Linked DNA regions of Astyanax mexicanus. The protein of the gene in region 2 purifies or fractionates together with the protein of the main gene of each other region. This does not show direct contact. Links are inferred from orthologs where the notes say so. Each region holds a gene or a part of one and is shown on either strand. Other genes may lie near its edges. The genes, in order: phf1, eed, aebp2 and phf19.

Evidence for each region.
Region 1: the proteins of eed (region 2) and phf1 purify together in Homo sapiens (affinity purification with mass spectrometry; 8 studies listed by BioGRID and IntAct, with this or other methods). This does not show direct contact. The link is inferred for Astyanax mexicanus from reciprocal best matches to the Homo sapiens genes EED and PHF1.
Region 3: the proteins of eed (region 2) and aebp2 purify together in Homo sapiens (affinity purification with mass spectrometry; 6 studies listed by BioGRID and IntAct, counting the BioPlex papers as one, with this or other methods). This does not show direct contact. The link is inferred for Astyanax mexicanus from reciprocal best matches to the Homo sapiens genes EED and AEBP2.
Region 4: the proteins of eed (region 2) and phf19 purify together in Homo sapiens (affinity purification with mass spectrometry; 8 studies listed by BioGRID and IntAct, counting the BioPlex papers as one, with this or other methods). This does not show direct contact. The link is inferred for Astyanax mexicanus from reciprocal best matches to the Homo sapiens genes EED and PHF19.

What each region holds. Positions count from the first base shown.
Region 1 is NC_064408.1:114,661,921-114,669,604, reverse strand, and holds the start of phf1 (PHD finger protein 1), read right to left. Parts: upstream 3,011-7,684; 5' UTR 2,192-3,010; intron 1-2,191. UniProt on the Homo sapiens protein: Polycomb group (PcG) that specifically binds histone H3 trimethylated at 'Lys-36' (H3K36me3) and recruits the PRC2 complex. Involved in DNA damage response and is recruited at double-strand breaks (DSBs).
Region 2 is NC_064428.1:19,807,828-19,815,114, forward strand, and holds the start of eed (polycomb protein eed), read right to left. Parts: upstream 3,007-7,287; 5' UTR 2,932-3,006; coding exon 2,818-2,931; intron 1-2,817. UniProt on the Homo sapiens protein: Polycomb group (PcG) protein. Component of the PRC2/EED-EZH2 complex, which methylates 'Lys-9' and 'Lys-27' of histone H3, leading to transcriptional repression of the affected target gene.
Region 3 is NC_064409.1:30,153,692-30,161,283, reverse strand, and holds the start of aebp2 (zinc finger protein AEBP2), read left to right. Parts: upstream 1-4,582; 5' UTR 4,583-4,738; coding exon 4,739-5,217; intron 5,218-7,592. UniProt on the Homo sapiens protein: Acts as an accessory subunit for the core Polycomb repressive complex 2 (PRC2), which mediates histone H3K27 (H3K27me3) trimethylation on chromatin leading to transcriptional repression of the affected target gene.
Region 4 is NC_064419.1:1,743,929-1,751,502, forward strand, and holds the start of phf19 (PHD finger protein 19), read right to left. Parts: upstream 3,005-7,574; 5' UTR 2,850-3,004; intron 183-2,849; 5' UTR 159-182; coding exon 1-158.

The DNA.
Region 1 (7,684 bases), on a different chromosome or scaffold from region 2:
TTAGAGACATCACATCACATATCATCACTGCCCAATTAAAAACCAGTATCTCCAAAACAGCAACTTTACAGTAGAGGGATAAAACCTTCTTTACTTTTAAGTCATTTTAGAAACTTTTTATTGGTCCATTCGTCAAGAAATTTTGATACAGTGTAAAAGACAGTTTTTGTTTTCAAAGTAACTGAGATACTTGTTTTTTAATGGACAGTGACAATATTCTTCACTGAAGAAACTTTTCAACACTTTCACATACACGCTGGGACACCCTGTGTGATAAAGTAGTCCTTATTCTTGATTAAGATTAACATTATATTATGAGGCTCTCAAACCTACTTTATTACCTCCTCACACACAAGATCCTAGTGGAATTAAGTCCCATCTGACATCATGTGTACATTCTAGAGGGGGTGTGGCTAAAACATAAAAAAAACTTGTTTTTTAAACATTATTAATACATTTTCTAGCAAATACAGTTAATCTTAATAAGAGAGCATCTATTCTTTAGGGACATCACATTACATATCGTCGCTGTCCAATGAAAAACCAGTATCTCCAAAACAACTTTAGCAACTTTACAGGAGAGAGACAAAACCTTTCTTAACTTTTATTGGAAGTTAATGGAAAAAGAGTTTATTTTATTTTTATTTTTTCATTTTAGAGACTTTTTATTGGTCCATTCATCAAGAAATTTTGATACAGTGTAAAAAAGTTTTTGTGTTCAAATTAAATAATAGCCTTAAAATCAACAACAATGGAGATACTTGTTTTTTATTGGACAGTGATGATATTCTTTACTAAAGAGACTTCCATTAGAAAACTTTCCAACACTCTCACACACATGCTGGGACACCCTGTGTGATAAAATAGTCCTTATTCTTGAGTAATATTAGCATTATATTATTAGGCTCTCAAACCTACTTTATTACCACTTTATTTCACACACAAAATCCTACTGGAATTAAGTCCCATCTGACATCATGTGTACATTCTAGATGGGGTTTGGCTAAAACATAAAAAACTTAAATAGAATGAATAAATGCAGGTTTACCTTTTTTTTTTTTAAACATCATTCATTTTTTTTTTTTAATCAAACACTGTTGATCCTAATGAGAGGGCACCTATTCTATACGAACATCACATCACATATTCTCTATTAAAGAGACTTTCATTAGTAAACTTTCCAACACTCTCACACATGTTAGGACACCCTTTCTGGCACTGCATCCCATTTAATACACTGTCTTGCGGCTTAAGCACCTAACTGGACACTTCACTGTGATTTCTCATTGAGTTTTACCTGTAGGGAAACATCGTAAAGCAACGCATCCCATTTTCTCTGCTGGAATGGGCACCCAAGGGGGTGGCATAGAAACAGAAGACACTGCATAACAGCAGGAAAGCAGAAGTCCACTCATAGTTAGGCACTAATTGAGACATATAAATGTACTATAATCAAATATTCCTCTTCTAAAAGATACATAATCATATAATGAACTGCGAGAAGTGGCACCTCAGCAGCTTTAGTGGGCGCTTGATCACTTTTTCCTTTTGCAAAGTCCAGCCAATAGAGCACTTTTCCTCACTTTTTCAACCATGCCCTGCTTTTTGCACCCTCATTGACTCCACCGGTGGAGTTTAAAGTGCAGGAGAAAGCCCCGAGGGCCTCAGGAGCATGCAGGGCACTCTCCCACCTAAAGGGTTAAACTCACACTCAGTGCATAGCGACAGTGTAAATGTACAGGGCTGTGAATGATGAGAGACTGAGGCTTTAGCTCCGAGGGAGCTGCTTGCTTTCTGTTGTTGTACTGGATCCACAACCGGATCTGTGGGTTTCCTTCCTTACGCAACAGCAAACAGCAGCTCGAATGCACGAATGCACATTAGGAAAGGTGGCGTGATGTTGTGTTTGGGAGGAATAAGGCTGAAGATGAAGAAAAGGAAGAATTATGAGTTATGGAGGTGGTGGGGAGAGAGAGGGTTGAGGGGGCGGGGGGGTGGTTGATGGGGTTGGGGGGGGTTAGAAGTGGGGGGGTGGGATGGATTTGCTGCTGCTGCTGGTGCTGATGCTGCTGATGCTACTCTTGTTGCCGGTTCTAGACACATGATGATGGGGATGGAGAAACAGATTGTAAAGAGGAGAGAAAGGAAGGAGGGAAGGAAGGAAGGAAAGAAAGAAGGATGCTGGCTTTACCTGTGAAGTGGTACTCTTCTCTGCTGGGGTCACAGAGACTGCTGTCGGTGCTTGACATGAAAATATGTCCGACCTCGAGCTGTTTTTGCTTGTCTTTGCTTCTTTTTCTTCTTCTTCTTGTTCCTCTTCTTGTGGATGTGCTTTCAGAGAGTGTGTGTGTGTGTGTGTGTGTGTATGAGTGTGTGTGTGAAGCAGAAAGAGAGAGAGAGAGAGAGTGCTCTCCTCTCTTTTTCTCTCTCTCTTTTTTCTCTTTCTCTCTCTCTCTGTATGTGTGTGTATATATGAGTGTGTTTGTGTATGTGTGTATATCAGTGTGTGTGTGTCAGTCAAGTCGTCAGTGTTGAGTCTGTCCGTCAGTCCGTCTGTCTCGTGCCACGCCGCTCCGTCATGTTCTCATCTCCCTCTCTCCTCCTCTCCTCTTCTCTCTCTCACTCTCTCTGTCCTCCTCCTCTTCTCCTCCTCTGCTCCTCCTCTTCTCCTTCGCCGCTGTTGTTAAAACGTGCCTGTCAGGGAGGCTTGAGCCGACAGAGACGCCATCATCATCACCATCATCACCATCATCATCATCTCTCTCTCTCTTCCTCTCTCTCTGTCTCTCTCTCTCTGTCTCTCTCTCGACTTGTTGTGACGCAGACATAAAACACAGAGCAGTCGAGTGGGAGGGAGAGATAAGGCGGGTTGCTGCTGCTCTGGCTGCTGAGGAGGGGTGTGTGTGTGTGTGTGTGAGTGTGTGTGCGCGCACACCTTCACACACATCTGTAAGCCCACGGTGACCGACAGACAGCCTGTGTTGACGCAACACCTCGTGTGTGTGCGTGTGTGTGTGAGTGTGTGTGAGTGTGAGAGAGAGAGTGTGTGTGTGTGTATGTGTGTGTGTATCACAGGCTACTGGCCGGAGAGAGAAAAGTTTTCAACCGCCCCCCTCCTTCTCTCCTTCTCTCCTTCCCTCCGTCCACTCAACACTTTAAAGGTCCAATCCCATTTCTAATTGGTACCCCTTCCCCTTGTTTTCCAGTGTAACCCTTCCCCTTAAAACATCCCCTCCTTAAAATTGGGACTGCCCACTTTCATAAACCTGCAGTCGAGCCTGCTGGACTGTCTTTAGTTCATTTTCTTAGGGAAATTGTATTACAAGTAGATTTAAGTCTTTAAATAGATCAGGGGTCGGCAATTAAGTGTATATTAATAAGTAAGATATTTTTGTATCCCATAAAAAAATCTGTTTTGGAAAATTAAGTGAGTAATGAGGTGAAGCGCTAAAAACTAGTAGCTCTCCAGCCCAGAGGGTTGTTGAACCCAATTGCAGCAGAACAGTTGATCTCAAAGCAGGTAAACCCAAGAAGAAAGGAAAAAATAAATAAATAAACACACCACTCCTTACGCGGGAACGAACCCGTGTCATCAGGGTCGCAGTCTGAAACAGTACCGCTGCCCCGGCTAGTGAATTGGGACACGGCCGGAGAAAAAACACCCTCATAAGTAGCCCAAGAACAGGCGGGAACTGAGCACGCCAGAGAGAGGTAGGGGAGGGTTGTAAACAAAAGCTAGCCTGAGAAGCATTTTATTTAATTTATTTTTTTCATTAACATTCATTATAGTTCAAACAACCTCACGGGCCAGATATATTTTTTATATTGCGAGCACATCTTGCCCGTAGGCCACCTATTGCCAACCCCTGAAATAAGGGGAAGCACAGTGGCTTTGTTATTTCCTGGGATCTTGGGTTCAAGTCCCTATCTGGGTCTCCAGGGACTCTGGTTTCCTCCCACAGTCCACAAAAACAGGGAGATGAGGTAAATTAAATATCTAAATTGCCCAGAAAATTGGATACTCTAAAAAAATGTACCTGGTGTTTGAATGTATGCCTAGATATGGATCTGGGTCAACTCAGATGCCTGATGCAGTCCTCCAGGTGGATGGTTGTTTCCGGTTGAGAGTAGGCTGTGCGTGATTGGCTGCCGCTTCTCACAGTGTGTGTGGAATGTAATTGTGAAATGTGCTACATAAGTGTAATTGTAAATAAATAAATCCTTTAATGTTTCTGTGCTGTTACATGTTACATACTAGCTACTATGTTAATATGTAAATATGTTTAGTACTGACAGTATTTTGTGCTAATTTCTAAGTTAAACTGTGTCAGTCAATCTGTTTCAATATATCAAGACTAAATATACTGGTTAGCTAGCTAGTTTGTTTCTTAGTGCATTGTTATTTTTTTTTTTCTCCAAAATTTATAAAACACATTTATAATGAATGTGTTAGCTACTTACTAGTTAATATGTTATACATGTAGATTTGTTTAAAAGTGTTTAAGGCTGAAGTATTTGTAGCTATTTAAGTAAACCAGTGCTAACAGCTAACTGTGCTAATTGCTGTTAGCACTGTACTAATCAGAGAGGGGAAACTTTTCAAAGATGCTCAGAATTAAATTATTACATATTACTATGCTACATATAGTCGCTGTCCAATGAAAAACAAGTATCTACATTTTTGTTGATTTTTAGCTAAAAAAATTATTTTAACAGACAAATGGTCTTTTACATTGTGCCAAAATTTCTTGATGAACAGATCAACAGAAATACTTCAAATTGACCTGAAATTAACTCTTTTTACATTAACTTTCATTGAAAGTTTAGAAGTTTTTTTCTGTTGTGTAAAGTTGCTATTTTAAAGGCACTTGTTTTTTATTGGACAGCAATGATATGTAAATGTTTGCTAGTAGTAATTTAGCACAAAAGTGTGAGTTCCTCTCACAGACCCATTAAAAGTGAAAGTAGTAGCTAATAAACTTAGCTAGCAAGCTAACTAGCACAGTCTATATTGGCCAACAGTTACATTTTACCTAGATAATAACACAAATTAGCTATACTCTTGAATACATTAAATACAAATACTCGATATGCCTAAATATAGTTATTTACTTTAATATTATTTAAAGGTAATAATATTAAAATAGATAAAAATGTATTTTAATATTAAAAGCACATTAAGGCTAACTGATACTTTCACTTGACATTGACATGCATGACTAGGCCAGTTGTGATCGTTATATTTTTGACTTACTGTTCCTCAATAATATTTGATAATTGTGATATTGCATATCCTGTTTAATTGTATGTTTTTTTTTACATATAAACTGTAACAGTGAACAGTATTTTAGACTGGCATGCTTCAATAACTGAACAATGCTTCAATAACTGTGACTACAGGTGCGAAAAAAAATATTTTTTCCAAACTATGATTAGATACAGATATGTTGTCTTTAAAAAGGTGTAAATTCTCCTAAAAATGACAATAATATTGTTTATCGCACAAAAAACATTACAGTCCGGAATTTATACTGTACCTGTTTTTCAGTTTTTTCCAAAAACAACATGTCAAGATGCATGAAAACTGAGATTAATAACCAGGGTTATTTCAACAAATATTGATTTCTGAACTCTTAAAACTTTATGAATGAACTTGTTTTATTTGCAGTACTTATGGTCTGAAAGTTCTGCATCTTTTTGGTTATTTCAGCCATTTTTCATTTTCTGCAAATGAATGCACTAAATTACAATATTATTATTTGGAATTTGGAAGGAATGTTGTCTGTAAAGTCAGAGAAATTTACCAGTAGCACAATTTTTTATTAGTATTAGTATTATTAGCCCAATTGAGGGAATTCATCTAACAAGCCAATTAAAACTACTCCTAATTATGGCAGTAAGAAGTAGCCGTGAACATAGCACACTATCTATAAAATACACTTTGCTTATAGTACAGTACAGTGTGTAGTGTATTTAACATATAGTACTATGTTCAGTTTCGTATATAATATATTATAGTATATATATATTATAGTCAGCTGTAGGTTAGTCTTCAAAAACAAGACAAACAAACTCGTTGAAAAATTCAAATTATCCTACTTATGATGGACCCAATGCTAATTTATGTAAATACATGGATCTAGTTAATACTGCCACATTCTCTCTCTCTCTCTCTCTCTCTCTCTCTCTCTCTCTCTCTCTATATATATATATATATATATATATATATATATATATATATATATATATATATATATATTTATATATATAGTCCCAGCTTATACAGGCTGTCAGAGTCATGCGGGCTGCATGGTTTGAGTGGTTGATTGTATTCAGCGATCAAACGCTGCCACCATTTCAAAGCTTTAAGTATGTGGTAAAGCACACACAATTGTTTTGCAGTTCTGCTATTCATGTTGTGTTCAAAATGGCCTCTGGCAGGTCTTTGGAAAGCAGAAGTGTCAGTTCCTTGATAGCACACCAGAGGGCAAGCACAGAACGCCTGCTCAAAAGGAGAGACAGGAAAGAGAGAATTTCACCTTGCATACAGTAACACAGTCAATCCAGCAGCTATTTTCATGCATTGCTTTGATCTGTCAACTGGTAATTTGGTAAACAGTTACTTAGAGATGCTTGTTACTTTCAGTTTAGATTACTTTCCTGTTAGACCAGGAGCGCCCAGATGTTGAGTCATGAAGGGATTAAATGGCGGTATGTGAGTGTGTGTGTGGTGAACTGAAAGCCAAAAAGACAAGAAAATATGTCAGCACTGTCACACATGCACACTAAAAAACAGAGGTATGATATAAGTACTTTCTTGTATTTAAAGGTACACTTTTCTGAATTGTACCCTCAAAGGTATAATACTGGTCAGTTTTTCATATTTTACTATTTATAGGTAAATGTTTGAGTAAAATGAACATTGTTGTTTTATTCTATAAAGTACAGACAACATTTCTCCCAAATCCTAAATAAAAAAAAAATCTTTAGAGTATTTGTATGCAGAAAATGAGAAATGGCTAAAATAACAAAAAAAAAAAAGATGCAGAGCTTTCAGACCTCAAATAATGCAAAGAAAACAAGTTCATGTTCATAAAGTTTTAAGAGTTCAGAAATCAATATGTGGTGGAATAACCCTGGTTTCTAATCACAGTTTTCATGTATCTTGGCATGTTCTCCTCCACCAGTCTTACACACTGCTTTTGGATAACTTTCAAGCAGGTTTGATGGCTTGTGATCATCCATCTTCCTCTTGATTATATTCCAGAGGTTTTCAATTTGGTAAAATCAAAGAAACTCATCATTTTTAAGTGGTGTCTTAGTGGTCTTTACAGACAACATTTCTCCCAAATTCCAAATAAAAATATTGTTATTTAGAGCATTTATTTGCAGAAAATAAGAAATGGCTGAAATAACAAAAAAGATGCAGAGCTTTCAGACCTCAAAGAAAGCAAAGAAAACAAGTTCATACTCATAAAGTTTTACACACTGCTTTTGGATAACTTTATGCTACTCACTCCTGCTACAAAAAAAAGTCAAGCAGTTCAGTTTGGTTTGATGGCTTGTGATCATCCATCTTCCTCTTGATTAGAGGTTTTCAATTTGGTAAAATCAAAGAAACTCATCATTTTAAGTGGTCTCTTATTTTTTCCAGAGCTGTATGTGTAGTTCCCAGTTTCTAAGC
Region 2 (7,287 bases):
GCTCACTGCTGATCCATGTTTTTGCTCATTTTCATGCGATTTGCACTACTATGCTATCACACTGGATATCTTAAGTTTTACATATAGCACAATGACCAGTCAGGGCTTAAACTGAAGTAGACACTTGGGACAAAACAGTAATTCACTTTCAAGAGGTAATTTTCATTATTTAGGATCTATTTGAGAACATTAAATGCAGAGGAAAATGTAAAAAAAACAAAAAGCGCCTATTATATTTTGAGTTTATAGTGTGTGTATGGATGTTGGTGATGATTAGCTAATCATTCTCTACATTTCCTGGTTTATTAGGGTCTTGTCAAACAAAGTACAAAATTTGAAAACATTATTTTAACAGCATGGGAATTTATACTGCATTATATATAAGGTGTCCACCAGGCGTCACCAAAGGCTTAAAAACCTCTCCAGAGCGCCCCAGTCTGATACAGAGGTGAATCTGTCTCTATAAAACAACATTTTAATATTTTTTTGTTTCTTTGTGATAAAATAAATTAATGTGAGTCCATCTCAGGGTAATATTAATATTTTTTTGATGAAATGACACATAAAATCACATGTTTGCGCGCTGTGTGCGCTGTGTGTTTTAGCGTTTGGAGAGGGGTGTTTTTTTTGTGACTTGGTGACGGTTTGGCATGCCCCTCCCCCAGCCATTCGGAGACCAATCAGGGCAAATTACGTATCAGTGTTTTCGTCTAAGGGTGGACTATTGGTTGAAATAGGTGTCAATCACTTTTGTGACGCTGGAAAAAGCCTATGATCTGATTTGATTGGACAGCCCTGAACACCAGCGCGATCCAGCGCTCACGCCATTGGTTCAAAAGACGATCACTCAAGAAAAGTAGTGGATTGTAGACCAATAAAAACCACTGAATCTAGAAGAGGACACCCTTAGCTTTGTATTCACGTACAACTTTACGGAAAATATTCCATTGTGTAGTCGCTGGGAGCTTGAGAATACGACGTTACGGCTGCGCTGAAACTAAACGCATGTTTTTGAGGAGCCGTGAGCAGGCAAATAAAGGACTTTATGGATATTTTACCTGCGGTTCAGTGCTGTATTGTGGATGCTGTGATAGTAAGTGAATTTTCAATAATATAATATGATGTTATTTTATACACTAATATTATTTTATAAGGCTATTTTGTTGGGGAGGCGTGTTTCTCGTGTAAACAATGTGAAAAAACAGGCTGTTTTCAGTTGGCGATTTCTGGCGACTGGTTTCATGTAGATGGCTGTAAATTTGCATGCAGGTAGTTAAAGTAGTACTAAAGAATATGAGTCGGTTATTTGGTCGGTATGTTTAGAATATTTGACGCTTTTAAGCGTTCTAATTTACATAGTCAGAACGGGCCCGCCGGCGGGCCCGCTAGAGGGCGCTTCTGCAGTAAGAGGTTAAAATGACAAGCAGACGACATTCAAGTGGGCTGATGTGGGTGAAATCTGTGGACTGACCATTGGGGGCGCTATTAATGATATACCTGTTTGTTAAACAAAAAAAAAAACCAAACGAATAAAAAAAAAAATAACAGAATAAAGGAGCTAGCAGTTATCTAACAGCCCGTGGCTCTATCAAAAAATCTTTAATAAATTTTTCTGTTTTGGAAAATTAAGTTTCTAAATAAAGAGCATTTTTGAGACGGACAGTCCGATTTTTTTTTTCATTATAGTTCAACCTCACGGGCCAGATGTTTCTTGCTTGCGGGCCGCATCTGGCCCGCGAGCCGCCTATTGCCGACCTATGACCTATAACATATGAGCTTAGACTGACGTAGAAGCTTAGTAAAGTGTTTGTCAAATGGATTTGATAAGTTGTCTATGAATTGAAAAAAAAAATGTGCTGAAGCTGCAGCACAAAATCTCAGCTGTCTGTGAGTGGTGATGTGGAGCTGGAGTAAGCTCGTTTTTAAAGTAAGTTATAAACTATGATTATTAATTCCTCAATCAAATATTACAACGGATGCTGTTAGTTGGATGTTTAACGTTGCATTTTGGGTGAAATGTGATGTTAAAAACTAGTCGATAAAGTTTTCCCCACCCCCTAGCCTCAACGTTGTTAACCCTTCCCCACCCACCCGTTTTCGGCGACGCGGACCTTTCCTCCCTACCTAGCGGAATTTCAAGAGAAAACACAACGTGGATGGTCACTGACCTGTTTTAATGGAAAGAGGAAGGATTGACAATGACCCCAGACTATATTTCAAACATAACAATAGTTTATTATTAAGTATTTTATTGTTTAAATGCTCAACTGTACGGAATACTGAAGTGTACGTAATACCGTTCTCTTTAACTAATATTTTAGTTAATAGACTTTTTTACAGAAAGTTCATATTAGATTTTTTTTTTGTGTTCATCACAGGCACATAGCATTCTTATGTTTTCATCACTGGATCTTAATTCAGGTCTAAAAGGGCTAAATTAACTAGTGAAACTACCCAAGCTAAGCTAGCCCAGCTATTTTATTACACTGAATTCAGCGAGTTAGCCAGCAGCTAACCTGAACAACAAAACTGGAAGCTAGCTCCGCTAACCTCGCTAAAGTGAGTCTCACAGAAAACAAAGCCTATAGAAACACAGAAAAGGGTTAAAAAAGGACAATTTTACACCAGTCCGCCCCAGGCTCGATAAAATTAAACACATCAGAGGTAAGTTATTTTAACCAGCGAGGGAAACTTGCAGCTCCGGTAAACAGAGCATCAGTAGAGGCGGAGAGAGAGAGCGAGCCGCGGCCCCGGATCCCCGGAGCTCCCGCTAACATATATATAACTAGAACCCGCCGCCGCGGGATCTTCTCTTACGTTCTCGTCTCCGGAAAGGTCCGGGTTGCTGTTCTCGTCGCTGCTTAGTTTCTGCTTTTTTGCCGGCATGTCGTTTCCCGCCTCGGCAGGAGCTTCAGACATCTTCCCCCTCATCTTCTTCTTCCTCTGCTGAAGAAAAACCCGGCGGCCACGCTGCGCTGCCACAAAGCGGCGTGGAGAGGAGCTCCGCTACTGCAGACCGAAGAACGGTGCTCTGTCGAGTTGCGCTACGCGTCGAAACGTGCTTCCTAAAGGCACTGCGCATGCGCTGACCTACAGCTATCAATTATTTCTCGCTTTTTTATATATATAGGAAATATTTTTTGTACATTAAACAACATGGACTCACTGTCATCAAATAAAAATATATAATAATAACAATAAATACAATAATAACTATAAAAAAATATTTTGTAATGACCTCTCACTACTACAAAACTGTGCAATGATACAGTGATTTATGCTCTCCAAAAATTTACATAGACTTGCACTGAGAATATGCTCTAATATGGTGCTTATTTTGCATTTAATAAATATACTACAAGGGTAGCACGGTTTGTGAAGGTAGCATAAAAAATTGTGCGATTTAATTTTACAAAAAAAGAAAAGAAAATGCCCGCTGTAGAAGTCTCGGTGTGATATTTGGATAGCCTAAAAAATAGCCTAAATTTGCTGTACTAGAGTTCGTTAGGGCAATATAGGGTATAAGAAGTCGTTTTATATTTATTTTTTATTATATTTTCAAATTTAATACAAAATAATATATAAAATTCAGTGATCTCAGATTGTAAAACACGTGAAAATAGTCAAAAATAAATAAATAAATGAGAATTCACGCATGCGCAGAGCCGCTAAGTAGCACGCATCGACGGGTAGCGCAACTCGACAGAACACCGGGCGTGTTAGCGCGTCCCGAACAGCAGGGGGAGCCCTGAGACAGATCACCAGCCGAACGCTGCAAGAGGACCTGGCACACTCACCGTACGTGTAGGGCACGTCTCAAATAGTGGATTTATACTCCCTAGGTAGGGCACTAAGCTAGCTATTGTAGGTCGATCACTCACGTCCACACTCGTCCTACACAGGTAGGATTTGAATGCATCCCTCCCTGATTTAAAGCAGGGCTTCTCAACAGGTCTCAACCAGGGACCCACTTTTTCTCACCCACTTTTATAGAATACAAAACAAATTTATTTGAGAAAAATAGCCTTCAAAAACCCATTTAAACATATATGCATGCAAAGTGAATTTAAGAGCATTTTTTAATGAAACATGTTGAGGAGGAACATGACAACAACATGTATAAAAGTTACTACAGTAAAATTAAATATGAAAACTGCACAAAAGCAATCAATCAATCAAGCTTTATTTTGACTCGGAAGTACATTAAAGGCAACCTTACTTTCAGAATAGCAAAGCATTTACAAAAACAGGGAATGACATGGCAAAGAAAATAATATGTACATGTAATCATTTCAAAATAACAGTGAATAAAACTAAAATAGATAAAAATAAAATAAGAATAAAAAACAATACTAAAACTTTGTTTAATTCATAAGAAACTAAGATCAAAAGAAGATAAGATTAATACAACAAAAGAAACAGTTAAAATGAAGTTAGAACTAACTTTTACAAAGTACAATAAAATAATAAAGAAATAAATAAGGCCAAAAAATGAGATGTTTCACTTCTCTGCATATTTCTGCATTCAGAGTACATTAGTAAAAGATTCTCTCTGTCTTTTTTCCACAGTATAAAAGACAAGTACAAAATCAGATGAGCATTATATATTTTTTAATTAAATCTCTAGACTCTAAAACATATCAATTATCTTGAACAAATAAAAATAATACCAATAATAATATTAAGAGAAAATAACTATTCAATATACACACACAATGCTTCCATTTTTGTCTTTTTATTTGTTTGTTAAAAACTCCACCATAGCTTTTTCGAAATGTAGTATTTTTTATGTTATTAATAATTCTAAGACTTTTTATGATATATTCTACCTCAGGTAAAAATATTGTCAATTTGGGTGTATCCTTTAAGAATTTTTCTTTATGAATATAATACTTTGCAGCAGGATTAAAAAAGTAAATTAATTTGTTTGTTTGTTAATTTGTTTAATTATTATAAGACTACAGTACAGATTATAAGAATAGAATATCAACAAGATATACATATTTAATGTAAGTAAAGTTTAACACATATAATACATATATTATGTTAAATCATTAGGGCTGTGAATCTATGGAAATCCCACAATTTGATTCAGAATCGATTCTTGGGGTCACGATTTGATTTTTTTCCTATTCTTTCAAATTGGTTGGATTTATTTTTCTCCATCCTGCATACTTTAACGACACTACACACCCTTCTGTAGCCTAATAGGGAGAGGCAGTACGAGCAAAAACTTTCCCTGTCCTGTTGCTGCTGTTTTGCGACACTCACCTACTGTCCCGTGGAGCTCAGCTACTGTCTCGCGGAGCTTTTTAACAGTTAAAGAGTTCCGCAGGACAGTAGCTGAGCTCTGCAGGACAGTTAAAGAGCCTCTATATACTGTTCTATTTGTGTGACCAAATATTCCACAATGTCTTTTATAGTAAACAGCATAGCTTACTTTATGAGGTGACTGTGGACCAAAATGCATTGTGAGTCTCATTACTAAGCAACAGACAATGGAAAGAACTGGAGATAATTAAGCCAGTGATAACCTAATTACGAGTCACTGGACCATTAATTTCACATATTGTCCCGTGTAGTACCTAGTTCATGAATTGGAGGCTTATATTTCTAAGTAACATAACAGTCAAGATTATTTTAACACGTTCAATACTTTTACTTACTGACTTTAAACACAATTAGTACTTAAACTAGAAACTAAATAGTTCCTCCTAATATTGCGCAGTACTAATTAGTGAGTACAAATCTTTTTTTTCGGTCACAGCCAGAGTTTCGTGACCTACATTGTGGAAGGGAATCAGGAACTCTGTGAGATTAAGCTCCTAACAGATTAATCTTTATCTTTGGATGTGCAACATTAGCAACATTTGTTTAATCAGTTATGTGTGTGCAAATAAATTATTAATGAATTGCTGTTCTTGTGTTTTTAATCATACTTTCACTTCTGCTCAAGTTCATAGTTCAGGAAAGTTCCAGCAAGTAGGCCTAATTTCTTTTTTTTGTGTGTGTGTTCAGTTTCATTCTATCATGTTGGACTACTGCTCTGCTTAAACCACATACTTTAGCGCTTTATGATTTTAGTTTAAACCACATTTATGCAAAAATAAAAAATAAATGTTCTAAAAAACATATTTTTCAAAAATGCACACAATGTTTTTTCATTATTTTACATTGTTCTACATTGTAAATTAATACTAAAGGTATCCAAATTATGAGGGAAAAAAGATATGAAATGATTTATTTAACAAAAAGGGTTAAAAAAGAATGTGTTTTGAATTTTAGATTATTTAAAGTAGGACCTCTTGCTTAGATGACAGTTTTGAACATCTTAGTATTTTCTCAGTCAGCTTTATGAGTTAGTCACCTGGAACAGCCTTCAGTTAACAGCTGTGCTGAACTCGTCAAGAGTTCTTACTTGAATTTATTGCCTCTTAATGTGTTTGAGAGCATCAGTTACAGAGTTACAGGTATACAGTAAATAGCCCTATTTGAGCAATGTTCTAATCCTTATTATGGCAAGAACTACTGAACAAAGTAAAGAAAAAAGTATGATGAAACTAGCACTCATCAGGACCATCCCAAAAAGTAAGACCAAGAGTTACCTCTGTTGTACAGCGTAAGTTAATCAGAGTTACCAGCTTCTGTTAAACTAGTACACAGATAAAATGAACATCCACTTTAAAATGAATTAATATTCAGGTACAAATTGACATTTGATACGTTGTGAATTCTATCATTAGCACAACAACAGCTGAAATCTGAGCTGCTAACCTGGAAGTTGGGCTACACAAATACTACACAAGAAATACCCAGCATTGTGGAAATAACCCAGCAAAACGACCAATGTCCAAAACCCAGCATTTGGATACAGCTCTGCAGTTTGTAGAGCTGCTTTTGTTCAGCTGCCTTTATTATTGTTAGCGGCTATGCTAATCTTCTTTTAAGCAGGCTGCTAATGCTTTTAACTGAGAGATGCTAGCATGTAACAGAAAATACAGGTACAGTTACTAACAAAACAGAGGTAAATTAAACCCCAAACACTTAATGTGAATGTTTAAAGTAAACTGAGTGAAAAAATAGAAGTCACTTTCACAAGTGAAAGTATCATTTTTGAAAAAGTGCTCAATCCATCCAAAATACACCTCTATTTACCTTCTACTGCAGCTTGCACAACTGAACATGGTTACAACACACCTCCAGTTAAACCAGTACACCGGTTGTTTCTTCCTGTGACCATACATGGTATAAGGAAATGTATGGGTCCAGAAAGTTTATTCATGTCTT
Region 3 (7,592 bases), on a different chromosome or scaffold from region 2:
TCCGGTTCGCTGAGGGGGGTGAGGCTTGGGTGGCTGAAGAGAGGTCTGAAATCCGTTGTAAGCTTCCGTTTTTCCGTGCAGAAAGTTGCCCTGGGAAATAGCCACGTTCAGGGTCATCTCTTGTTCTCTAAAACCATGCTCCGTCTGCACGTCCTCCCGCAATCCCCTCTATAACACGTTTTTTTCAGAGCTGGTTCAGTCCTTCCACTATCTGCGGCAAGAGTGTGGAAGTCAAGGGTGTAACTTGTTGCAGAATAGGTGCCTTGTTTAAGCTCACACATTTGCAAACCCAGCTCTTTACCGGCTGCAGGGTGTGGTCAAACACAGCTTTAAACTGAGCAAAAAACAAAGCTTTAGAGCGTAAATGTCACTGTTGGCCGACCATAGGGCAGTAGCCCATTCCTTAGCTTTACACGTAAGCAGTGTTGTGATTACCTTTTAGCGTGTATTGCAATAAAAAGTTGCATGCACCAGGAGAGCCATCATAGTGTTTGGGAACGGCGATAAAGTTGGAGGAGGATGGTTTAGCTGTTAGTACAACATCAGCTGTTTGTACAGCAGCCTGTTCTGGTACACTGCAGCTGGTTCCACTACATGCTGTGGCAAACTCTAAACAAGCTGGGCCAACACCTCCAGTTTTTGCATTCTAATGAATATATTTTTAAATAATATAGGACAACAATGCAAAAAAAAGAGAAAACTCCTCTTCAGTTTTTTCTTATTTTGTTGAGGTCTGGGGACTGAGATGGCCAAGAGCTTGATGTTGTGCCTTGTGAACCATTTTTGAGTAGAATTGGCCACATGTTTAGGGTCATTATCTTGTTGAAAGACCCAGTGACGACCCATCTTCAGCTTTTGGGCAGAGGACACCAGATTCTGATTCAAAATATCCTGATACTTTATGATCTCATGTATCCTTACAAGGTCCCCAGGTCCTTTAGAGGAGGAACAGGCCCACAGCATCACCCGTCCTCCCCCATACTTAACAGTGGACATAAAGTGTTTTCCTGCATAATCAACCTTAGTGTTACTCCAGACCCATTTTGAGTGTTTGTTACCAGAAAGCGCTATCTTGGTTTCATCTGACCAAAGCAGACTGTACCAGTTAAAATCCCACTATAGCTTGGTAAACAACAGCTTGTTTTACGCTTATGATTATAACTCAAAAAGGCTTTCTCTGTGCTGCTTCCCTTCCAAACAGCTTGTTGGCATGTAAAAGGCGCCTGATGGTTGTTTGGAAGACCTCTTAACACTACATGCTACCATTTGATTCAATTCTCTTACAGTGAATGTGGATCAGGGCATCTGCAGATGAGTGGCTATTTTCTTGTAGCCATTGACTGCTTTATGAAGGTCAACACACATCTATACACTTGAATGTTATGTTCTCATGTCTTTCCCATGTTTCAGATGAGTAGGAGAAATAGACCTTTTTGTAATACTGTATTTACACCCCAGGGAAACACAAAGTGATTATTTACCAATTAAAGGTTCCTACACACTTTGATTCACTTTATAAACTACAGTAGAAATGACATAATTTGTTTAAATACATTTCATTCCAAAAAATTGTTATGGGATGCCAATAATTGTGTCACAGGTTTTTTTTTTATTCACTTGAGTTAAAGGTTGCTTTTTTATTTTTTCCGTGAGATTATGCTTTTGCAATAAAAATGACATTTATTTTAAGGCTTTTAACACATTTTAACTAGGTATGCTAATAATTATGGAGGGCGCTGTAAAGTGAACTTTTCCCAGTAGCTCATTGCCTCATCATGGCTGGGCTGATCTTCAGGATTTTCTAACATGCTTTTACCTATCTAGGGGTATTTATAACAAATAAGTTTGACAAACTGATTAAATACAACTTATTCAAACTTTTTTACATACTAAACAAGACCTGAACATTGGACATTACTACCCCTATGATTAGCAGGGTGCATCAATGTAATGAAAATGAATATACTCCTTAGATTTCTATATATTTTACAATGCATCACAATTTTTAATTACTAAATCTTATTTTATTAACCTTGACAATACTATTTACAAATTTGTTTAAAATAAGAAGGTCCTGAGGCTTCGGAAGTCAACTCTACAAAAACCTAAACTCTTAGGGGGTATGGCACTGGCCAACATTATTTTTTACTATTGGGCTGCTAATTTTCAACTTACTGTTTATTGGTTGCATTTAGATAAGCTAGCCTCTGTGTCTGCCTGGTTATACCATGAATCTGCTTCCCTAGCTCCCACCTCATTAGCTTTTTTTCTAATTTTCTTAGTACAGCCACATAAACCAAGTTGCAATAATATTATTGTCAGGTCTACAGTTCAGGCGTCATTTTGGTATACAGTCGCTCCCACTATTAACTCCACTTTGTGCGAACCCACTATTTCCTCACTCGCTGCAAGATAGAGTCTTTAAGATTTGGCAGGACCACAGATATATTTAACTGCAATTTCTAATCCAAACAAGCAACAATTTATAAAGGAAAATCACAAAAATGATCAGGGGTGCCCAATTTAAATTTTGTAGCGTTTCTGACGCTTTAGCGAGGCAGCTTATTCTGTTACATTTGAAGAAAAAAAAAAACATACCCCCCTTCCTACACACACTGGGTAAAAGATGCACTACACTTTATAAAACTAGAAAAAATTAACCACACCCTAAAAGGATAGTGAATAGGGTCCCTTTTTAAAACATTTAGATGTTTTGGAACATTATCCTTCTTTAAGAATTAAATTATTTCCACTGTAAAATGGAAATGATAGTCATGGGACGCTGCACATCTTGGTAGAAACATACCCTGATAAACAGCATTAATCATACAGGTCAACCATCCTGGTTATACTGACAGACAAGCTAGACCATGAAACTCAATTTACATTATGTGCTGTGCTAGTCAAGAGATACACAAGCAGACATTATTTGAGTTATTGGCGTAGCTGGTCTGTGAGTATGACCAAGGTGGTTAGCAAGTATGATTAGTATGATATACTGGCACAACTAAATAAAAAACAACCATCTATTTCTCTAATTAAACACACTAACGCTAATACCACTGGTCTCAGCTACACTGGTGAAGTGTGCTACAGTGTTTAAAGCTTGGTTGTGTAGTAACACTGTCCTGCCTGTTTTAGTAGTTTTTTGCTGTATCACACCAAGCTCAACTGCTACGTGAACACAGTTCACAAAATACAATCTGTATTTAAAAACAAGACTGTGATTATCTTACATTGATTATTATATTTCCCTTTATTAAAAGTTTCAGTGTTAAGAAGGAGAAATCAAAATCAGATTATAAGATTAATTTCAGCAAACTGCGATTAATTAGTTAATTTTAATCGTTTGATATTCATGACACAAACACACTATAGATCTGTAACGATCTGTATCACTTATGTCATTTTCAGCTGGATTTAACTTCTCGCTTTACATTTTGGCCAGTCAATTTAAATTGCAGAAATAAAATATAGGCTCGTTTCTTTGTTTTTTGGTTTAAACACATGAAAAAAAATAGGAATTCAGTCCTACTTTATGTTTCTGCTTTATGTCTACAAAACGAACATATGGTTAATTATTTTGATCGCGAATCATGGGCGGGCTTTAAGCACTCTTCATACCCCATTGGTCAGCCTGAGTGATCACGTGCTCTCTCGTTGTTCGGGAAAAAAAGTCCCAGTAAAATCTCGGGCAGGAGAAGTAATACACGCGAAGCAATATATCTCATATTTTCTCCAAATCCAGTCAAATAAATTTAGGTTGTAGACTCTGACTGAGGACTGTATATGTACTCCACAATCTGAGGAAAAGCTAAGTTTACATGCACGCTGATAGTAATCCGGTCTAAACAGACGAGCAATAGTATCACAAAGTGTACACCGTGACAACGAGTATTACAGCTCTGTGTGGAGTGTTTGTTCTTTTGGTTGCACGAGCCAGACACCAGTCTTATCGCTGATGACACAAAATATATATATATACAAGTGCTGTAAGATGAGAGTCATACCATTAATACCAGTACAATAAGTTACAGGTAACAAGTGAAACACGCATTAATTCGACCGAATTGGAGAAAATATCAGATATATTGCTGCACGTATGTTACTCCTGCCGCCCGAGAGTTTTACTGGGACTTTTACCTATACAACGCTTCTGAGAGCACGTGATCACTCATACTGACCAATGAGGTAGGAAGAGCGCTTTAAGCCCGCCCATGATTCGCCATCAAAATAATGAACCATATGTTAGTTTTGAAGACATAGGGGAAAGTCGGACTGAACTACAGTTTCTGTTTTAGTGTGTTTACAACAAACAAAAAACGATGAAACGAGTCTTTTGTCACTTCTTCTATTTTCTATTTAGTTCAAGAATCAACCTATCAAAATGTACACGGACTGCGGCAAGTATTTTATTAGTTCGTATTCCAATTTTATACGTAAAATCAGTGATCGGATAATTTATTTTTTTCATTTCTGAAACGGATGTTAACCTAATGGTTAAAACTACACATGCCCGTTTTCCCATAACAGGCCCGTTCTGTTTGAAGTAGTCCAAACACGTGGAGTCAGTAAGAGCGACGTCATCTCTTGGCCCCGCCCCGCACGTCCCTGCTCAACCTCTCTCTCGGGCTGTGTGCTCGTAGCTTTGCTGAGGAGAACAAATGCTCACGGTTTGACTCGCTCGGCTCTTCTCAAACTTACTTAGACGCCCCCAAGATACTTCCCACCGTCGAGGATGGCTTCCGCCGCGACCACCGACGCCAACGAACAAGACTCCGCCAAAGCCGGCGATCAGAACGGCGAGGAGAGCGGCGAGGGCCTGCTGCGCGCTCCCGATCAGGAACCGGGTGAGGGCGAGAGCGTTAAAATGGACGAGAACTGCGAGCTCGACGGAGCGACAGGCAAAGAAGAAGCCCTGGCCGAGGCTAGCGAGTCCGCGGAGAGCCCGTCGAGCGGTGAGGCTGAAGCGGAGGAGCTGAAGAAATGCCCCGAGCAGAAGAGCTCAGAGAGCGGGGAGAACTCGGCGGCCGTGCCGGGGGAGCTAAAGCAAGAACAAAGAGAGGAGGAGAGCGTGTCCTCGCCGGCCGAGTGCCCCAGCAGTAAAGGTGAAGAGTGTCCGGACAAAACCGGCAGCGGGATAAAGAGGAGAGCCAGCGTGGAGATGTCCTCCTCCTCCGATGGAGAACCCCTGAGCCGGATGGACTCTGAGGACAGGTTAGTAACTCTATTATCGAGGATCATGAACAGAGTGCCTGAGGTACAACAGCAGAGTCCGCCTACTGCCTCCACCTACAGCTGCAGCTACAGCCCCACTGCCCGTAACTGTGGAAAAACAATGCGTGCTGGTACAGCTATGTGTGCTGCAGTGATAATATAAGACCTGTTATACTGTTATAAACAGACCTAGGGGCTTCATTACGTCTCTACTCTTTTATCGTAAAATCACAGCAGCAGCACTCAGTCAGAACTCAATTTATATGAGTAAAATCTCAAATGATAGATCTCACTAATGCAGTTTTATCACTAATTTTAATTTCAGAATTAGAATATCAGATATACAGATCTATACATCCCTTCGGACTCGTCATATTTCCATATCCCTAATGTAATTCTGTCTATTATTCTCATGGAATTAAATCACGGGTGGTACGTGTAGTCCTATATAACTATACTGTAACTGTGTGTAGTAAACAGTCCAGCTCCACACATTTTTAAACTTCTACAGTTGGAGTTTTTACAAGTAATGATACGGTTACTGATATTACAGTGAATTACTGTGTTGGCCTGTCATAATTATGATAATTAGTTGATTAGATTTATCGTACAGTATATGGACATGGCCTAATTTAGAATATCTAAACATATTAAGATTTACAATTGTACATGTTCTAAAAAATTACAGTCTGGATATCTATAATTATAATGAGATTTGTTGAATATTCTCATTTTTGCTCACATGGGTGTAATGTGGTCTGGATTCATCATTGCACTTCACCTTAATCCCATGGCCCTAAATTGTCCTTAGCTATGTAGTGTATAACCCAGATGGGACCTAGTTAAAACCCCTTTTGGTCACATCACTGGCCCGTCGTAATGAACACTGGTATTGTTCAGAAATGCCCAGTGGAACGGTAACCTTTGTAATATAGCAAATACACAGTTCAGTTTTTGATCCATTGGCTTCCACTGAATTTAGATTAAAACAAGAATAAATACGTAAAAATTCATCAGGTGTTTTTAGCTCTTGATCTCTTTAATTGTTTTTGTCTACGTTTGTGCACTTTACTAATAGTATCCAACATATGTCATTTGTCACATCAGTATACTTTAATAACACATTTTGATATCTATAAAGATAAGACTTTATACATTATTCTCACATGTCTTACCTTTAGGAAAGTTTTGAACACAAGATACATGAACAAACCATTACTCATGAAACTTCTTTAACTTCACAAGCTTCTCATGCAACGCTCTATTCAGAAAGTACTGTGCTCCTAAACATTTAACATCATACTGTCTCTTAGGCCCCACATTAGACCTTTGTCCTAGTGCATATAATGTTTAAGCTCAACTGACAATATTGTGTTTTAGTACCTTGTGATAGTGTTTTGCATTTCATACAATATGAAAGTTTGTATATATAAATGTTTGACTGTAATTTGATAAAGGTATACGTTCCTCCAGAGGTAGAGGTAGAAATTGAGAAAGCTCTTGATAGAAGGTATCCTTGTACAACAGTACGAGAGTTTGCCAGAGAACACCTAGTCCAAAAATATGCTTTGGACAGATGACTTTTGCCTTGTTTCTTTTTTTAACATAACTGTAAACCTTAAAGCTTCTCTAATATGTTTATGAGCATATAAGCAATCTCTATATTAATCAATGCACTATATATGAAAAAGGGGATGATCTCATAATCATAGCTTTTAATTAATTAATTTTTTTATTAGGCTGACAGTAACAAAGCAATTAAAAATGTACCCTCATAAGAATGCTTCCATGGTCTTTAGTCATGGTCTGCTTAGACATTTAATAAACAAGTTTTGCCCTAATTTCTAAATGAAATATTTGTATCTGAAATTGGCTTAAATGCATTTAATGTACAATTGTATTTCTGACCATTTTCATTGGCTTCAGTTTCAGCATAATATCAACATAGCATACTGTATAGCATAATTCTTCTCATTTTACATCAGATTTAACAGCTCCTGTTAAGCAGCGCAGCTGACTGAAAATCCCCTTGTACTCAGCAGTAGCCTTTGAAGGTGTTAGCAATAATACTAATTGTTTATTAATTTTTGATTTTTGAAAACAAATTAATAGTGCTGGTTAGAAAGGGTAAGTTCCTTTTATCATTTTCTATTATGATAAATATGTAGAATTATTGCCCAGCCTTAGGTATAATTATGTAACTGTGCTGCTGTCATCAGTGGATGTTTTTAAACTATAAATAGTATATAGTATATAATTATCAAATTACCCAGTGTTGACCTTTTTGGTCACCTGAGAAAGTGCTCCACATATATAGATGAGACCTTTTGTTGGCTTGCATGTGTGATAGTATCGGTAAGCAGGCACCTTGCAGA
Region 4 (7,574 bases), on a different chromosome or scaffold from region 2:
TAGAGGCCGTCAGACCAACGGCAGAGGACGTACTGCCCGACGGTGAGCTTGCTCTCGAGATCACTGCAAACTGTCTCAAGTTTGGGCAGCAGCCGTTTGGCGTCTAGCTCGTCCGGACCCACAGCCAGGTAGCTGTCCCGGTAGGCTCCCTCCAACATACTTACCTCACACGCCTACAGTCCCTGAGGAGACAGAACCGGCAGAACATTAGACTACAGCTCTGGTCCAGGGGGTCAGCATCATTCACATTTATTCAGATTTAATCAGAATTCTGCTGATACAGCACATTTATCTTCTCTAACACAAATACATCAGCTGTTTTATGTCAGCAGAGATGTTTCTGCAGAAGTTTCTGAGGTGCATATATGAGCTGAAGCATCAGATTTACCTACTCTGCAACTTTTGTTAGCTAACCCATCAGGCCTACATATAAACGGGGTACCAAAAGGAAGTGCTGTTCTCTAAACCACAAATGTAAATTCAGCCACAAACGGTCCACTCTGTCAGTTTTGATTCACTTTGCAAGTAAAGAAAGGGCTGAAAGAAAAAGTACCTGCTCTGTGGAGCTGCAGGGACTGTTGGATGACTCAGAATCCGCCAAGAAATGAGTGAAACCAAAAGCAGCGAAGACGCAGAGTAGTAACGACGTCGGCTAACGTTAACTCTTGGTGGAACAGTGGACAATCACACTAATGTCCTTATGCAGTTATACACTTTACTATAGCATTACTATTACATGTACATTTATGGTATGTAGCTGACACTCTTTTTTAAAGTGGTTTTCCTATTATAGAGTTTGGCCAACGTAGTGTTAGGAGTCTAGCCCAAGGACTAATATATTATTATTATTGGCGTAGCGCAGCATTCAGTCACCCAGACCTGGAATTGAACCCCAATCTCCCACATGGTAGCTCACTGGTGGGCAGTGGTGTTATCCACTGTACCACACCAACCCCAGTTTAATTATTCTTACTATTATTCTTATATATTATATATGTATTATATGACAGTAATCATACAGTAAGCACACCAAACAAAGCACTCCAATAGGAATGCATTGACATTTGTCTGTAAACTTTGTCTCTAAACCAAAACTAATTATATATTATAATAAAATCTGCACAATCAAAGAAATAACAGTATAGCTTTATACTTTATGAACCAATAAAAAAATAAAAATCTACATATATTATTAAATACTAGTAAGCTATTAAGTAGCAGGAAAATGCAGCGTTATACAGGAGTTTCAGTTTAGTTCTCCAGCAGTATTAGCATTAGCGGCTAAACACGCTAAACACTAGCTCTTTTCGAAGTATATCGACCTGTAGCCCTCTGCTAACCCCAGATATTATTCCAACATTTTTCCAAACATTTTGGACACAGGTCTATTAGCCGAATGCATTTGCATTTCAACATTTAGCCTAATTTTCAAACCTTAAGAAATAGCCAAAGATTTGTTAAAACAGCTAAACTGTCTAAATGTTTTAGCATTCCAACATTTAGCCAAATGTTTGGGACTCAAACCGATATGTATTTGCATTTCCCCATTTAACCAAATGTTTCTGGACACAACTCTGTTTGCATTCCAACATTTCTGCAAATGTTTTTGGACTCTAACATTTATCCAAACGTTTTTATTCCCCACTTATACATGCATTCCAACATTTACCCAAACGTTTTACACACAGCTCTATTACCCAACTGTATCTGTATGCATCTACATCATTCAGTCAAACGTTTCTGGACACAGCTCTGCTACTCACATGTATTTACATTCCAACATTTATCCAAACGTTTCTGACCATTGATAATACCACAGAACCACCCTTTGAACCAACTGTTGAACTGCAATCACACTCCCTGCTTGAATCTTTGCACCAGGAGTGTAAAGCATACAGTTATCCAAAATCAGTGTGTAAGACTGGTGGAGGAAAACGTGATGCCAAGATTCATGAAAAAAAACTGTGATTAAAAAACAGGGTTATTTTTTAAAAATAAAATTCTTATCAATATGAACTTCTATGAACATCTTTTTTGTTATTTCAGCCATTTCTCATTTTCTGCAAATAAATGCTCTAAATGATATGATATTTTTGGAATATATTTGGAATTTGGGAGAAATATTGTTTTTAGTTTATAGAATAAAACAACAATGATCGTTTTAGTCAAATATATATCTATAAAAAGCAAAATTAGAGAAACTAATACAGAAATTGAAGATTCTCTTTATTTTTTCCAGAGATGTATTTTTTATGAATAGTGATAAATAGAGGTTAAGGAGTCATCCGGGTCCTGAAAGTGAAAATCCGCTCCGGGATTTCGTTCCAACTGGAACTGGAGCGGCGCTGCCCCGGCAGTTGGAACGAAATCCCGGAGCGGATTTTCACTTTCAGGACCACTGACAAATCTACTAACTTAATAAACTCCAGCTTGCACTTTCTAACTAACTGACATACTAAAAACACACTAAAAAATAAACTTAGCGAGCTAATAAAGCTCAAAAACGCTTAGATAAGTGTGTATTTCCCGTAAAAACGATATTTAGAGCTAAAGCAGCTAAACTGATTTTCCCTCCCTGGTTCAAATCTACCTTTAGCTGTGAATAACTGAATAATAACGCTGGAAAACGCGCTAACACTCATTTTAAACATTAATAAAAGAGAAAACGCGCCTCTAACTACACTAAAGACACAGGTATGGGTTTATCTAAAGTATAAAAGTTAGGATAAACAGCGTTGAATACAGTAGTGAGTTAGTGTAACAGTTACAGTAAGTTATCAGGCTGTAAGTTATTAAACAGTGTGTGTTTAGAGTAAATAAACGAGTTTCTCGCTCTTTTCCTTCATTACCGTGCTGATTTCTCCTCTCCTCAGGAGGGTGGAAGTTGTTCCCGGAGTGTTTAGCCCGCTGTAAGCGCTTCCATTCGCGGAATAAAGTGAGTTTTTCAGTCCTGAGCTGCTCTGCTCCGCTTAAACCGAGCCTCTGCAAGTCGCCATTTTTTCACCTTTTCCCGCGAATCATTTAGGTTTCAAGCTCAGCACCATCAGCAGCAGCAGCAGCCCCTCCCCTTCCACATACTACAGTATATATTTATACACATATATATATATATATATATATATATATATATATATATATATATATATATATATATATATAAATATGCAGCTCTGCGAAAAATCAAGAGAGCACTTCAGTTTCTGAATCAGTTTCTCTGATTTTGCTATTTATAGGTTTCTCCCAAATTCCAAAAAATAAAAATAAAAAAATAAAAAATATATTTTTTATATATTATTCATTATTATTAATTTTGTTCAGAAATCAATACTTAGTGGAATAACCCTGACTTTTTTTTAATGCATCTTGGCATCATGTTCTCCTCCACCAGTCTTACACACTGCTTTTTTTTTGAAGAGCATCATGCTTCCATCTGCTGAGAACTTTTATGGAGATGCGGACTTCATTTTCCAGCAGGACTTGGCACACTGCCCACTCTGTCAAAAGCTTTATAATAAGCTTAATAATAATAAGCAACAATAAAAGATATAATAAACACTTAAAACAGAAAACTCTATGTGTAATACATGAATACAATATTTTAATTTCACATTTGAACAGAATTACTAGCTAATACAAGCTCAAAAATATCCTGCACTTTTAATTTTGGTGTAGGATGTTTGTTGTTAAATAACTTTATTTTCGTTTGCTGTTTTTATACAAAATCAATGTATTGGTAAGTTACTGTCTACAAAATAGACAAACTGTTTTATTTAGCATAAATATCGTCGCTGTCCAATGAAAAACAAGTATTTTCAAAACAGCAACTTTACAAAAGAGAGAAAAATCCTTCAAAACTTTCAATGGAAATCAATGTAAAAAGAGTTTATTTCAGGTCATTTTAAAGTATTGGTATTATTGATTATTATTAATCGACTAATTTGCAAATCATTGTGATGCGTCTGCATACCAAAGTACACGGAAACATCATCCTCACCTATAGCACAGTTAAACCTGAGAGGGCGCTACAGAGGCGAAAATTAACACAATAAAAGTCATTAAAAGTATTTTTAAAGGTTAAGAAATAAAATAAAATAAATTATATATTTTATTACTTTAAAAGAACAGAGTTTAGCTACATATACATACATATAAATATTGTATGTAAGTTCTTTAAAGCCCACAATGTGTAAAATAACGAGTGACTATCTAACTTAACTGAGAAAAAGCAAGATGACGCCTTAACTGAGTTGTGTCAACATGTGTTTTTCATGTTTTTCAGTGTGGAAATAATACATTTTTATTAGACTTTAAATAAAAAGACACAGCTGTTAACTTTTTCAGTGACTTATATCTATGTTATTAACTCATTATAACACATTTTACAGCTTTCAGTGCAGCTCGATCATGTGTTGAGTTTGTAGGGTATCTGCAGAATCCGTCATTACTGAGCAATAAACTCAAATCCTTCCCCTGCTGGGAGACATTTGGGTGACATTACTGAGAATGAGGGCAGAACCAGTCTGCCCTTTCTGCCAGGTCACACTGACCAATCCCATTTAGTCATTTGTGGTCATTTTCTTGTTTACTCAGCAACATCAGGCAATAGGCCAAAGTGGACGTGAAAAATAGCAGGTCTAGTTGTTAAGTCTTCGTGGCCATAAGCTGCAGCGTGTGTCAGGATTCACCTTTTCCTTTCTCTTGAATATTTATCAACTTTCCACATTATTATTCTGCTTTACACACTGTAAAAAAGAAGATTGATGGGTTATATTGTAAATATTACACAAAATAATTGATTTTCTCACTATGAAGTGTAACTTCATGCTGGCTCACAACTGCAGCAAAGTTCACATTACAAGCCACATTGCTCAAAACCAGAGGTGGAAAAGTACTGAATAATTGTAATTAAGTAAAAGTACCTTTACTTTGCTAAAATTGTACTCAAGTAAAAGTAAAAGTACCCATCTAAAAATCTACTTGAGTAAAAGTAAAAAAGTACTCAATTTAAAATTTACTTTGAGTAAAAGTTACATAGTTACTTTTATTTATTTGATGTAAAAAAGTACAAATCATAAATTAAATAATTATTAAATGAAATAATTTGGGCAGTATTTGTTTAGACCATCCCATAAAACATATTCAAGAACAAGTGGCACAGGTTTCTATGATCCATTTTTTTTACTGTTAAAAAGTTAAAAGGTTATGGTCATATAGGTGACTATAAACTGTATTTTTATAGTTGTACAGGTAATTATTATTTTTTAACTTGCCATTCATATGCTTTAACTGCTATTTTACACGTTTTTTTTTAACATCCAAGCAGAATTTTTAATGGTTCTAATAAAAACATAAGGAATTATTATGAAAAACTTTGGTCGGTGCATGCGCAGTGCCGTAAAGAAGCACATATGGATGGGTAGCATAACTCGACAGAACACCGGTTCCCCCGAGTCACGCACACAGACCCCAGCTGATTTACACAGCATCTCTCCCGCTAACCAAAATAAACACTGCATGGAGACGTTTAGCTGCGCTACCATGGAGAACAAAACTCTTTAAAAAATTTTTTTTTAATTCAGACGATTTGTTTTTTTCCCAGCTTTTTATTATTTACTCAGTAATGGGGAATTTTCCAATGTAGCAAAATAAATTACTTGTGTCAAAATGTACTTGAGTAAAAGTAAAATTACCTATTTTCAAAACTATAACAAAAAATTACAAATTACTCATAAAATCTACTCAATTACAGTAATGTGAGTAAATCTAATTAGTTACTTTCCACCTCTGCTCAAAACTGATTTTTTTGCTCAGATTGGATTTATCTATCTTGTTGGTTCACATTTACAAATGTAAGTGATCTGTTTCTGTGTGTAATGTGAACGAAACATTGATACGCAGGGCCGTGCAGAGACCTTTGGAGGGGCAGGTGCTGAAAGTCAAAAGGGGGCACATGGAGCACGAATTTATAACACTATACAGAAACATACCTTTTAATATATGTACAAAGTTAATTTGTGGTCTTTCTGTAGTGTTACTGTAAACTACAAATGAACAGAAGTCACGTTAGAGGAGTGTTTCATATATGAAAGTAACTAAAATCTTATTTTATTTTTTTTTTATTAATAATTATATTTTTTCTATATTCTTAAGGATTTTATTTTTCTTAGCTACTGCAGACAAGGGAGCCTGAGAAACATATGTTTCATATGCAGCATCATAAACAACTCAGAGAGACCTAAAGTATTTCACAAACAAGAACAAGAAAAAGTGGATTTTAGCAGAAGGAGATCTTTAAGTAAAAATAAAACAATACTTAGTACACCTCTCTTTATTACAAAGTATTTTTCAGGCATTTTTCTGGAAACAAGTCCTACTTTTCACCAAATAAAGGGGGTCTTGGGTCTTTGTTTCTCTTTATGGCACATTTTGCATTATTTAATTTAAATTGCATTGAAAAAACTAGGCCAGAGTGAGTCACAGACTAATATGAGGAAAAATTCAACACAGGTATTGTACAACTAACACGTTGAAAGAAGTGTTGAATGGAAAACCAACATATTAGAGAAAACTGTTAATTAAAAGTCCTCTGCTCCACAATTCAATGCTGGAGGCTTTATGTTATAGAGACAATGTGAGTAGGAGTTCTTGGAACGATCCAATCAGTGCCTGTTTACAGATAAAGTCCGCTTTGTGGAGATCTGCGAAAGCGCAGGAGCCAAACCAAGCTGTAATATTATTTTTTTTTTGTGCATTATTGAGTCAAATGCTGCACTGTAAAAAAATATTCATTGGCTCAACTTAACTTAGTCAAGTTATTCATTTAGTCATTTAGCTTTGACTCAGTTAAGTTGTAAATATATACAATTTTAAGTTTATTTAACTTAACTTAAGTTTCATTCACACAACAACAGTTCTGTAAACTCAACTGTTTTTTTCTTCAAGTATTTTGGGCTTAAAAAATGTAGATAAATAAACTATTATACAGCCTAAAACACCGAGGCCTGGCAATCAACACTTACTTTACTGCATTACTAATGCACAACTAGGATAAGGCAGCTTTGAGCAACAGACAACACAAAGATGGTAAGTAAGGAAAAGGCCACACCCAATATGCAAATATATGGAGGAGCCAGGAGCCTATGGGAAGGCTGTATAAAACAACACTGTAAAAAAGAGCATTGAAACGTTTAATATACTAAAAGTTCAAAAGTGGTTCAATAAGCATTTTTAAGTTTTCAGGTTTAAGTTCTCTAAAATCATTTTATTGATTTGTATTAAAATATTATAATATTACTGTAGTTCTCCTGTTTAAAACACAAAATCACATTTTAGAGCGTGCCATTTATTCATCAGATTTTATTTGTTATTGAAAATGTGTTGAAAATGTGTGTCATTTGCTACAATCACTTTTTTTTTGCATGTTTTTGGCATCAAATGTACATTCAGTTTCATAAAAAAATAAATATTAAAGATATAAAAAATATATGTATAAAAAAAACATATATATACCCGTACCTTATTATAGTAAAGGCAATTAACTATTTTAAGACTGCCTCAAAATAGCTGAGCTATTA